Xenopus tropicalis: one gene and its partner. The protein of the gene in region 1 purifies or fractionates together with the protein of each later gene. This does not show direct contact. Links are inferred from orthologs where the notes say so. Each region holds a gene or a part of one and is shown in the gene's direction. Other genes may lie near its edges.

Region 1 (6,409 bases):
CTGTAAATTTCTTTGCTATGTGTCATCAGCAATAAAATTAATAATAACAAATAATGGAATTTATTTTATTGATGCCAACCTCTGAGTAATCAGTACCTAAACTGCTGACCCACACCATTCATTTATTTGCTCTGAGACTTCCTTGTAAATCAAGCCTGAATACAGAGGGGTCCCTACAGATTCCTGTTATTGTTCATTACTCGTACAACACTGCACACAAGGTTGGGGCAAGTGGGGTAAAGGCTACTGTTATATCAGTGATGCAGTTCAGTAATGCAGGCAGGTTGTTAACAGTTGACCATCTTTATTTCTTACACACAGAAACTAGCTTCCCAGTCTCCTCCCACTATTTCCCAAGGCTGCAACCATCTAACATCCTTCAAAAGCATATAACTTTATAAAACATAACACAGTTTATGCAAATACATAACTGATACGACTCCCCAGCTTGTAAATGGGTTTTTAAAAAATATTTAGGCATTCTGTAGGCACATGCTTCTATCTACAAACAATTTGCATTGGAAGCGCATAAAAATAAAAAATGTGAAATTATGGTGTAATATTTCTTAAATTAATAAAACACCCACAAGTGCAAGCTTGAGCAATGTGACCATAAATGAGTTAAATAATAAATAAATTTTCTCCACCAGTGCAAAATGGTGAGCTGATGCACTCACCAGATGTAAAATACAGCAAGGCAAAGTAAATCTGCAGATTCTTGGTAGTGATAAAGCGGGATCCTCAAATTGTGATAAAATGAGAGAAAACAAACATAATGTAATACTACTTTCTACTACTTCCTCAGGAGCCAGATTATAAAATCTTTTATGATCCAGCTCCTGAGGAAGCATGACGTAATTATGCGAAACGCATAGAGATTGTTTCTCGTTTCTGCTGAATTGTACTACAATCTGTGAGTAGCCTGTATATGAGCAGGTTTTATTTTTAATAAATAGTATTACACTATGTTTGTTTTCTCTCATTTTATCACAATTTGAGGATCCCGCTTTATCCCTACCCCCCCCCCAATCCCTTGGATGTTGCTCCTAGTGGAGCAAGGTGCTTATTTTTTAATTCCTGGCTTTTGAGCAAGTTTTGGTTGCATAAAAACCAGGTGTACTCAGGGCCGGATTTCCCTATAGGGCCCCCGGAGGCCGCCCCCTTTTGTCGCCCACCTCGACACCCAAGCTTCACGCATGCGCACCGCAACCCCCCCCCCATGCGTGCCACTTCATTCATTCGGAGCCATGGGGAGAGGACGCGCTAAAGTTTTGGCGCTTCCTCTCCCCATTATTCTGCACGGGGGCAAATTGTTCTGGTGTGGGTGTGGGCCTGGGTGTACTGCCAAACAGAGCCTGATGTAGGCTGCCAGTCAATATAGGGGCTACAAAATAACCAATCAGAGTCCCTATTTGTAACCCCAGGAACAGTTTTCATGCTTGTGTTGCTCACCAACTCTTTATACATTTGAATGTTGCTCACAGGTAAAAAAAGTTGGGGATCCCTGCTCTACATCATACTACTAAGGGGCAGATTTACCAAAGCACGAATTCAAATCCCGAATGGCAAAAATTCAGATTGGAAATGAAAATTTCGCTGTCATTTCGTCGCCGTCGCAACTTTTTCGTATTTGTTTCGACTTTTTCTTCGCCGGTGCGACTTTATCGTATTTTGCGCGACTATTTCATCGCCGTCACGATTTTTTTGTATTGAGCAATTATAAACGCCGGAAAAACCAATCCGATTTTTTTGCGACGGCGACGAAAAAAGTCGCAGAAAATATAAGAAAAAGTTTGACGGCGACGAAAAAGTCACGGAACATACGAAAAAGTCATGACGGCGACGAAAAAGTCGTAAAAATACCGATCATTACAAAAAAAATGCATTCGGACCGTGGATTAGTAAATGTGCCCCTAAGTCACAAAAGAGTTCCATGACAAAGTCACTGCACAAGGAGAAGTACTTTTATACAGATCATGGAATTCTGAGGTGGCTCCTAATATCCTCAGTTATTTTACAACAGGGAATACATTGTTTATTATAATACACACGTTTCAGTGAGTCATATGAAATAAGCTGCATCACAGGATAGTCACGGTTCTTGTGTGCGTTTGTATACATTGTTTTAAAATAAATAAATATATATATATATTGGAATTCTAAATAGGACGTTGGTAGCAACATCACAAAATGAATTTTTGCTAAACATTACCGTTTTGTAGTAAAAGTAAGTCATTATAATGTAGATACGCGCTACATACACTTCTGAAATAATTTCTCACACATAGTCGCAGCAGCTTGGCTAGTAGACAAAATGAACACGCATATGTTCGGGAATACAAAATCTTTAAACACACACTATATCGAGCAAAAATCTCGCATTAGCCCTAACACACTTCAAGTCACGTGATACCGGCAACATTCTAATCACGTGATGTGTGCAGGGAAGACAACGCGGCGCTAGTTTGTGCTCTTCCCTTTCCGCTTTTAGTCTGTCACGTGGATTGGGTCTGCGCTTGCGTAGAGGTTCGCCGGGATCCGGAAATGGTTGAGCTAGCTGGTGCGACTGCGCCCGGCTGCGCGGACTGAGGAAAGCAGGTGAGAATCGGTGGGGCCTGATTTGTAATCCATTGCCATCCTTCGTCCTGTTAATGCCTGTCGAGTCTGAAACGTGAATTGGTAACTTACTAGTGGCGCTTACCCACCGGCACCGCGTGGCGCGATGTCCGTGTACTTAAAGCTGCCTCACCATGGCCTGTCCGTATGAGGCCCTTAACAACCCTTTTAGCTGTCCTTCATAGCTAAAGTCCGCTCGGCGTGAGAGTCGAGCAGACAAGATTGGCATTTCATGTTGTGTTGTTTGTGTAAATGTGAGGAGAGATGGATGGAATTGCTTACTGAAGCCGGTTCCGTATGGAGCGGCACAGCGAGGAGTACGTGTGACATTGTGTCAGTTTAGGTGGGTAGCGCGGAGGGGGCGGAGGCGCAGTGACATCATGCACCTCATGAGTTACAGCATGCACCGGCAATCAAAATGTCCTCCATCAGGGGCTTTAATGGCTCCGTAGGCTCAGGAACTCCATGCGGTTATTCGGCGGGCATGAATGAATGGCACCATACCGTTTCAACGCGAAAAGAGCTTGTGCTGGTAGGGAGTGGGAAACTTAGCTTGCCCTATTGTTTTATATGGCACGTCATTTCTTTTGTGACCCTCCACTGTTCATTTGCGGCCAGTTCTATCCGTGATAGTGCATTCAAATAATATATTAACACGTTGGAACTGTAAAAAAATAAGCTGCCTTTCCTGAAACTTCTAGGACTTGATATCCCAGTTTAGGAAGACAGGTTCTCCCATCTTTTTCTTCAGCTCAAACTTAAATGAGACTTTTTTTTTTTGTAACTATTGTTATTTCTGTTAACATATGTTTTAACTGGATGTGTGTCTGTGGGTGGGTGAAGGGCGGGCACTATGGGTGACACTTAGTTTTGCTGAGTAAGTGAAAGTAATCCCACAAAGGCTATATAGTGTGCTTGCTTCATCTGCACCCCACACCCACCCTAGGGTGCTCTAGCATGCTGCTTCTTAATCTTTTACTGATGGCACTGCCTTTTTTTTTTTTTTTTTTATTATAACACTGCCATTTTATAGCATCAACTTTGTGTGTAATACATATAATGTCAAATTATATATAACGGCACTCACTTAATGGAGAGAATGTCTGGGTGCATACCCACCCCAAATATGTAATATAGAATGTCATATAAAGCAGAGTACTTACAGGACTTGAATGTATGGTGAAAAAGAAATGTCCTGTCCTTACTTTTAAGTCCTGTAAGCACCCTAAGATATATATTCATATAATTTACATTTTTGACCCTGAGAATAACTTGCATTTATAAATTTGTATGGTTATGCTATCACATGGTTGTTTTAGTTCTGTTTTATTCTGTGTAGCTCTGGTATAGGCAAGACACTAGTTAACCTTCCTTATCTTTGAAACTGTAAACTTAGCTCTGCTGCCCTAATTGTGAAACATTTCTTGAAGCAGTTGATTGCAGTAGTGGTAAACGAAACTGGTGTAGTGTGTTAGTGGCGGTGGTTAATTGGGCAGTTTGGTGCAGATCTTTTTGATAGTAGATCAGGCAAATGGACGTAAGAGACAGCTCCTAAAAATATGGGGTTAGCCTGATAGTAGCCTTCAACACTCCTGCCTTTATTACTTCTGTATTTATATCCATGTCCATCATTTGCATGCTTTCAAGGTCTGCTTTAGTGTAATGAGTAGAGGACCCCGGATCATTTGACTTTAACGCGCCACAGAATCAGTTATGTTCTGTCACCTGTTGCATTATGCATCAGTAGAACTTGTACGACTTCTCTGTTTCTTTGTTATAATTGTTTTACTAAGGTTTTAACAATGCTGCATACATGTTTTATTAAATATTATATTTAGTCAACAGTTTAGCATTATATCTTAATTATCTATGTAGCGCTGACTTATTCCACAGTGCTTTACAGATATTTATGTTTACATGAGTCCCTGACAAAATTGAGTTTAAAATCCAAATCGGTGTAAATCTCATCTGCTGGTTAGTACCTGCTTTTTTTTTATTTATTTTTTGCATAAGTCACTGTATAACCACTAGGAAATAATAACATCTGTTATAAAAAAAAACAAACATTTTTGTTAGCAACTTTAAAAAAGTAAAGTTTAAATCACCGGGGGTTGTCTATATTAGGTACCCTCCAGTGATTAAGATTGCTTGCCATATACCCTGGGCCAGTGCTTCTGTTTGCTAAAAACTGTCCGGACCCAGAGTAATTTCTGCTGCAGATCCTTATCGCCACCTTCTTCTGAGTCTTTCTTCTGTTCCAGTTGACCCATTCACAGTAGAATGAAAGCCGAAATTAAAAATAAAAAGCTGGCTCTTGCACTCTAGTGCACATGCGCACTCCCACTCCACGGTGAAAAGAGGAGAAAGCACAGAAGAACTTCTGCAGAAAAACCCCAGTCTGGTGCAGCTTTCTGCTAACAGGAGCACTGGTCCAGTGTATCGAGTAAGCCATTACGATTACTGGGAGGGTGCCTAACACTTGGCACCCCCCAGTTATTTAGACTTTCCTTCTCCTTTAATGATGATCTTCATGAAACCAACATGAACACTCAGGTGTGATGCTTGGCAGTAAAACCTGTTCATGTGACTAACTTTTTTTTCAGAATAAATGTCAATCAAAATTCCTTTATTAAAGGAACAGTAACACAAAAAATGAAAGAGCTTTAAAATAATAAAAATATAATGCACTGTTGCCCTGCACTGGTAAAACTGGTGTGTTTGCTACAGTAACACTACTATAATTTATATAATAAGCTGCTGTGTAGCCCCGGGGGCAGCCATTCAAGCTGGAAAAAAGGAGAAAAGGCACAGGTTACATAGCAGATAACAGATAAGCTCTGTAGAATATAATAGTGTTTTATCTGTTATCTGCTATGTGCCTGTGCCTTTTCTCCTTTGAATGGCTGCCTCCATGGCTACATAGCAGCTTATTTATATAAATTATAGTAGACTTTCTGAAGTAAACACACAACTTTTACCAATGCAGGGCAGCAGCACATTATATTTTAGTTACTTTTATACACTTTCATTTTTTGGTGTTACTGTTCCTTTAACTTTTACCTTTAGGATACATTTAGGGGCACATTCATCAAAGTGAGAATCATACTTTGATAAATCTGCCCCTAAGTGTATATTCCATTTGAGCAGGGGCAGCAAGAAGTAATGTGTAAATGCTGCAATGGCTATTGGCCCACTTACACTTGCTGGTCACATGGGAATCAGTATCTGCTTAATTCCATTCCTCAGGGCGTTCCTTGCAGAGCAGTATTCCGTTTTGGGGACTGAGCCCAGTTTAATAGGGTTTGACTGTTCTTTCCTTTTTTACTGGCATGATCTTGGCCTGCAAAGCTCGTGTCTTTTAGAAAACTAAGATAAAAATGACACTTATTGCCTTAAGCAACCAAACCCGGTCCTTAACCCTTTTACTGCCAGCCGTTTTGGTCAAAGCAGAACTTGTATTGCCAGACAGTTTTTGAACATTTCACTTTAGGGGTCTTTCCTCGGGGGGACTTTTAGTTTACCCAGGAAAACAATATATCATTTTTTTCAGAACAACCTAAGCTTTCAAAATATGGTATTTTTTGTGTAATTCCAATTCTGTAACAAGATATAGGCTTCTAAATGTCTAAAAATGCAAAAAAAAATCAAATTTTCCATAATATTAACACACATACTAGAAACAAAAATTATTTTATGCACAAATATACAACTGATTTGGAAAGTCCCATGTCTCCTGAACGTGCCAATACCAAATATATATAGTTTTATGGAGATTTCTCACTTGTATAAGTCA
Region 2 (5,317 bases), on another chromosome or scaffold:
TTTCTGCTAGTGACCGTAATGCAGTTATCGATGCATGCCATGACTGCAGACCACCTTCATATGATTGTGTTCTGCCCTCTGTGGGTTTGGCTTCATACGTACCTTGGCAGTCAGGTTAAGAAAGCTTTTAGATTGTTAGGTTTTTTTTTTTTTTATTTAAGTGCGTTGTAATTGCTATATTTGTGTGTTTTCATTGCTAGTTCTGACTCTGACAGAAACCAGCTGTAGTGATGAGCGAATCTGTCCCATTTGCTTTGCTGAAAACGTTGCAAAACTGCAGAAAGTTTTCAGAATGCAGCTACTATGCGACTTTGACACAACCAAATTTTTTCTGCAGTTTTGTTAAATTCACTAATGAAAAGTTTAATGTATATTGAAAAGTTGCATACTACTACTATTTATTTTCTGTCGTCTCGGGGACACAGGTGATCTATGGGGTAATTCAAGTGTCCTGCTTCTAGGAGGTTGGACAGTCATGTCTCTAGGGATACTTGGGGGTATATATATCATGCTGTGTAAAAAGTGGAGTAAAACATTGCCGGTGATGTTGCTCATAGAAAAGCAAAGCATCTGATTGGCTGCTAATTGTTGATATCTAATTGCTAATTGGTTATCACTGGTAATGCTTCACTCTACTTTTTGCACAGCATGATAAATATACCCCTTAGAGAGAAATTATTTGGTCAGTGGTTAATGTTGACTCCTGGGTGATACCAGAAGCAGGGCTACCTGTCTGCCTCACATGGTAGCCCCTTTCTGCATCCTAGCCCTATTGCGCTATTTAGACCACTCAGGCAGATTTCAGCAGCTTAGGATGAGCAGGAGGCTTGGACAGTGCGGTGCCGAAGTGAGTATAGCACTCGGCCACCCCGCTCTGCTTGACTTATATTGTAGCCGTGTCCAACATCACACCCCAACTCGCCAGCCTGGGACATTAACTACCTGCCTTTTTGCCTGGCTTCTTGCTCTGGCACACAGGCCTGGCTCTACCTGCTCCCCAACATGCAGCTATGTTAGGGTGGCCTTTAGCACAGATATGGTCACAGTGAAGAGGGAAGGAAACCTTAAAAAAAAGTTTGTTTATTATCTGCAGGAGACAATGTTACCGTTACTGGAATAGATGCCATGAATCCGTCCTCAAGAGAAGACTTTACAGAATTTGGGAAGCTCCTCAAAGAAAAGATCACCCAGTATGAGAGATCGTTATTTTACCCAGGCTTCCTGGAGGTCCTTGTGCGGGAAGTGTGCGTCTCATGTAAGCCAGCCTCTCCTCCTTTCCAATTTCCATAAAGCTTTTTCATTCATGACTTATCACATGAACTTTGTTAGTCATTAATTTTGCCATATATTGCGGTGGCCTGAAGTATTTTTGTATTTTCCTGTTTTAGTGGAAGTGGATGACCTGAAGAAAATCAACAATTCTCTAACAGTGTTGTGCTTTGAGAAACAGAAGCAAGAGAAGGTGAGTTTATTTGGGTGGGAGGAGTATTAAAGAAATTATTTCAAGGTAATAGAAAAATGACAACCTATTAGAGGACTTGTTTCATGATGTTAGCATGAAGGTGTAACATGAGTGCCCCCTGCTGAGCGCTAAGAAGAATAGCAAATGTTTATTTTATATAGATAAGAAGCATCTCTTCATGCATCACCGCTCTATTGTTTTGCTCAATGTGACATTAGCAGGGTAGTGTTAAGCTTTATATGTTCTACCCCGCTCTTGCCATGCAGTGTAAAAGCTGCTAAAATCATGAATCATTGGTCATTGTTATAGGTAGGTTATATGCCCCCTGTAACCTGCTTCTGTGCAGGTAGAGATTTAGCATATTTTTTTGCCTGGATAAACTACAATTGTGTCTCTGAATTACAGCAACAAAGTAAAGCCAAAAAGAAAAAGAAGGGAGTTGTTCCGGGAGGAGGACTAAAAGCCAACATGAAGAATGATCTAGAAGATTATGGGGGCATGGATGAGGGCTATGGACGAGAGTATGACGATTTCATGTGACACGCTGGTTCTTTGTGGCCCTCATTAAGGAGTGCGCTCTCCTCCCTCAGGACTCTGCCAAATGCTACAGTCAAAGAAATCATCCCCCCTCAACGGGCCATATAAAAGAAAATGGCCATGGTGTGTGTATCTGGATTCTACTGGTTGATGCCCACATCGCACATTAAACAATTAACCTATGCAGCTCTATTCAGCATCCCCTTAACTCAAGGCTCGCAACCTTCTCCACTCTGCTTGTGGCATGCACGCTCAGCTCTGCCATGTTACAAACAGAGTCATGCCTCTGCTTTCTGCCTAGGAATATGGTCTCTCTCTCTCTGGGCAGGGCAGGTTATTAAATCTTTCTTTTTCTTCTGGCTCTTTACTTCCTGCCTCATTGACACTGCCCTCCCAGCCATCTTAGTTTTTTTTTTTTTTTTTTAATATATATTGGTTTCTTAGCTTTGTGCTAGAGGAATCTCCTGCTTTGAACTGTGATTCCTGATGGACTCAGCTTGGTGCTTTTCCATATTAAAACTTTAAACAATCTGAAATCACCTCTACAGTATGTGGAACTGTGAAGATGCAGAATGGTAAGGAGATACCGCTGGTGCATCAGACTATATGTGCTGCCTTCTGTTGGAGCTGCCAGTACCAAAACATGTGGGTCATCATGACTTTGTGGCCAACTGGCAGTTCTTGATGGCTCTGCCGGAGGGGAGGGCCATAGGGTCTTGATATTTATTTAGTGATTGCGTGTCAGTGTGGTTTCACGATTGGTTTATTGCTTTTTGACTCTTGCACCAAGGTTCAAGGTCTGGCCCTTTCTCTTAATCTTCTGCTCACCCACTGGATGGCGCTTTGCAAACAGGTCCTACTTTGGGAGAATTGTTATATTAACAATGAGACTGCAATGTTTGTTTTATAAGACAACTAATTTAATAAACTCATCCTTGTGACAAGATTGGCCAGTGTGCTCTCTCCTGCATAGGCAAGGTTGGCTTCTGAGTCTTTGGCAAAGTGTAGTGCACCAGGGAGCAGGGAGCTAGAGAGACCACCTCCAGTAAGTCATTATTAGTGGGTTTATTCTACCATGTATAATGCTGTTAAAGCGCAGATGGAATTAATAGCGTTGGGAAGACAAGCTGTATTTATGTACATATTAACAATGTTTGAAAAAAAAAAAAAAAAAAAATTATGCATATGTTATTTCTTTGCAGCTCTCCTTTGCTTTTGCCTTGATACCTTGTATTGATCTTTTTTTTTTCATCTTCCTTGTTGACAACTTTTATTTTTAGTTTCCTTCCCCCCCCCCCCCCCCGACTATGAACTGTTCTAGGCAAAGGACTGAGGGTCACAATATTTCCCATCTCTCATTTCCCTTATGCATTTGCCTAATGGAAATACTGAATATTTTTTTTCCTTGCTTTGGTTTCCGTAGCTTCTCTATCATGGGGGTTAGTCTGCTTGCGGTTTAAAGGTAAAGGCACAATTACTGTCTGTTCGGTCTTCCCTGTAGCCGCCTACAGCCAGTGGGGCTGCAATTATGTAAAAGGCCTGTTCAAGGGACATTATGCCAGAAACCACTTGTCTGTACAGCTAAAACCCACACCAGCATATTTAATTCTGTGTATTAAGGGAAATCTAACGGGTATATTATAGTCTCATGGCTGGATTAGATCTTTTTTACCATAAGTCGAAGTTACGTGTTCTTCACTTTCAAATGGGAGACCTTTGGTTACCTTTAAAAAGCTGGTAACTCCATGGCTGAGCGCACAATATACAGTCACTGCTGACAGAGAATCACATTACTTAAGGATTTTATTTTTCTTTGGGGGGGTGATGCATGATATGAGCAAACTAAGCCTTTATCCACACTACGCATTCTTACTAGAAATAACTGGGACAGGCACCATAAGTTCCATCTTCACTGTATTCCTTATTGGCACCAGCAGCTTCAAATAACAGCAACAAAGTGTGTGAAATGAAGTAAAATATATACATCCAACTTGTTTCAATGTTGTCTCCCTTTTTTTTTTGTTTTCTTGCTTGTTTCCCTTTGCTCTTATAACTCACATTTTTTTAAGGGAAAATATGAACCTATGTTCAACATAACCAAATCATGAAGCTTGTGTTTAAAAAAAGAAATCCATTTTTTTCCTTTTATTTAATAGCACTCCTGGATTATTGTTCTACTTATCAGGAGATTTTTTAAATAGAGACATTGAGCACTATGTAAACAACCCATTCCTTCCCCTAGGTACTGTTTGTGACTCCTGTTTAGAAGGAAGGGTTTATTATACAAATAAGTCAAAGTCCTTTGTTTAGAACCAAAGTTTCTCTGCCCACAGCCCAGTGTTAACCTGCAGACACAATAAGCAGAGAGAGAGCTGCTTCGTTGGATGGAGGTGGTGCAACCCTATAATGTGAACCATACACTGGCTTGACTCATACTGGCAACATTGTTACATGGCCTGCTAGAGATGGGCCGGTACCACAGGCTTGAGGCGCTACTGTTTAAAAAAGAAGGTTGTGGCCATTCTTGCCTAGTTATGCTGACTATTTTAGGAATATACCAGTATCATTTTAATTCTAAGTAACAATCCAGTGTATTGTGGGAAACTGATCATTGGCTGGAGGAGAGCAAACTATTGTAACGTTGTGCATATGGCCAGCACCAGCAATGCAGGGAAGAGCAAGGTACAGCCAGGCTTTGCTTTCATTAGCAATAATACTTAAGCACGACTTAAAATAGCAGCTATGGGCACTGTCAGACCGAGGACTGCATCAACTATCCAATGTTCCCTGATCTGATGGGAAAATCATATCTTGCCTCATAGAGATCTGGCCAATTTGATTCCAGATTTCTTTTGGGAAGGCCTGCCCGCAGTGACCAAATATGGGCAGAAAGGCTGCTGAATTGGTATGGCCACCTTTAGGCAAGAATATCACACTATGCTGTAGCCTTGCTTTCAATGGGACCAGGGGCCCCAGCCGTCTTTCACCAAATGTTACTCCCCATGTTAAGCTCTAAAAGAAAAGCCATTTACCAGTTGGCCATTACTTTTTCCAGGAGAGAGAACTCAATTTAGTGTTCAATGGTGCCTTTACTGCCAGAGCATAATATCACATGGTTAAAGCAGTGACCAGGGCTTGATACTCTGAAAGAACAGCGTTCAGCACAAAGTAGCCCTGAGGGGAAAGCAACATTTCTGTAAACTCTGGTAACAAGCTCGTTTGTATTAACAACAGACTTGTAGATATCACATTATGCTGCGAGTAATTTAAAATATCTTCCTTAAAATTATTGAAATTGTTATTATCAAGGCATACTGT

What was found. Proteins that work in one complex are often made in the same cells at the same time.
Region 2: the proteins of eif4g1 (region 1) and eif3j purify together in Homo sapiens (affinity purification with western blotting; 3 studies listed by BioGRID and IntAct, with this or other methods). This does not show direct contact. The link is inferred for Xenopus tropicalis from reciprocal best matches to the Homo sapiens genes EIF4G1 and EIF3J.

What each region holds. Positions count from the first base shown.
Region 1 is NC_030681.2:99,827,015-99,833,423, reverse strand, and holds the start of eif4g1 (eukaryotic translation initiation factor 4 gamma 1), read left to right. Parts: upstream 1-2,477; 5' UTR 2,478-2,598; intron 2,599-6,409.
Region 2 is NC_030679.2:118,202,774-118,208,090, reverse strand, and holds the end of eif3j (eukaryotic translation initiation factor 3 subunit J), read left to right. Parts: intron 1-1,093; coding exon 1,094-1,255; intron 1,256-1,388; coding exon 1,389-1,462; intron 1,463-1,867; coding exon 1,868-2,002; 3' UTR 2,003-3,993; downstream 3,994-5,317. UniProt on the Homo sapiens protein: Component of the eukaryotic translation initiation factor 3 (eIF-3) complex, which is required for several steps in the initiation of protein synthesis.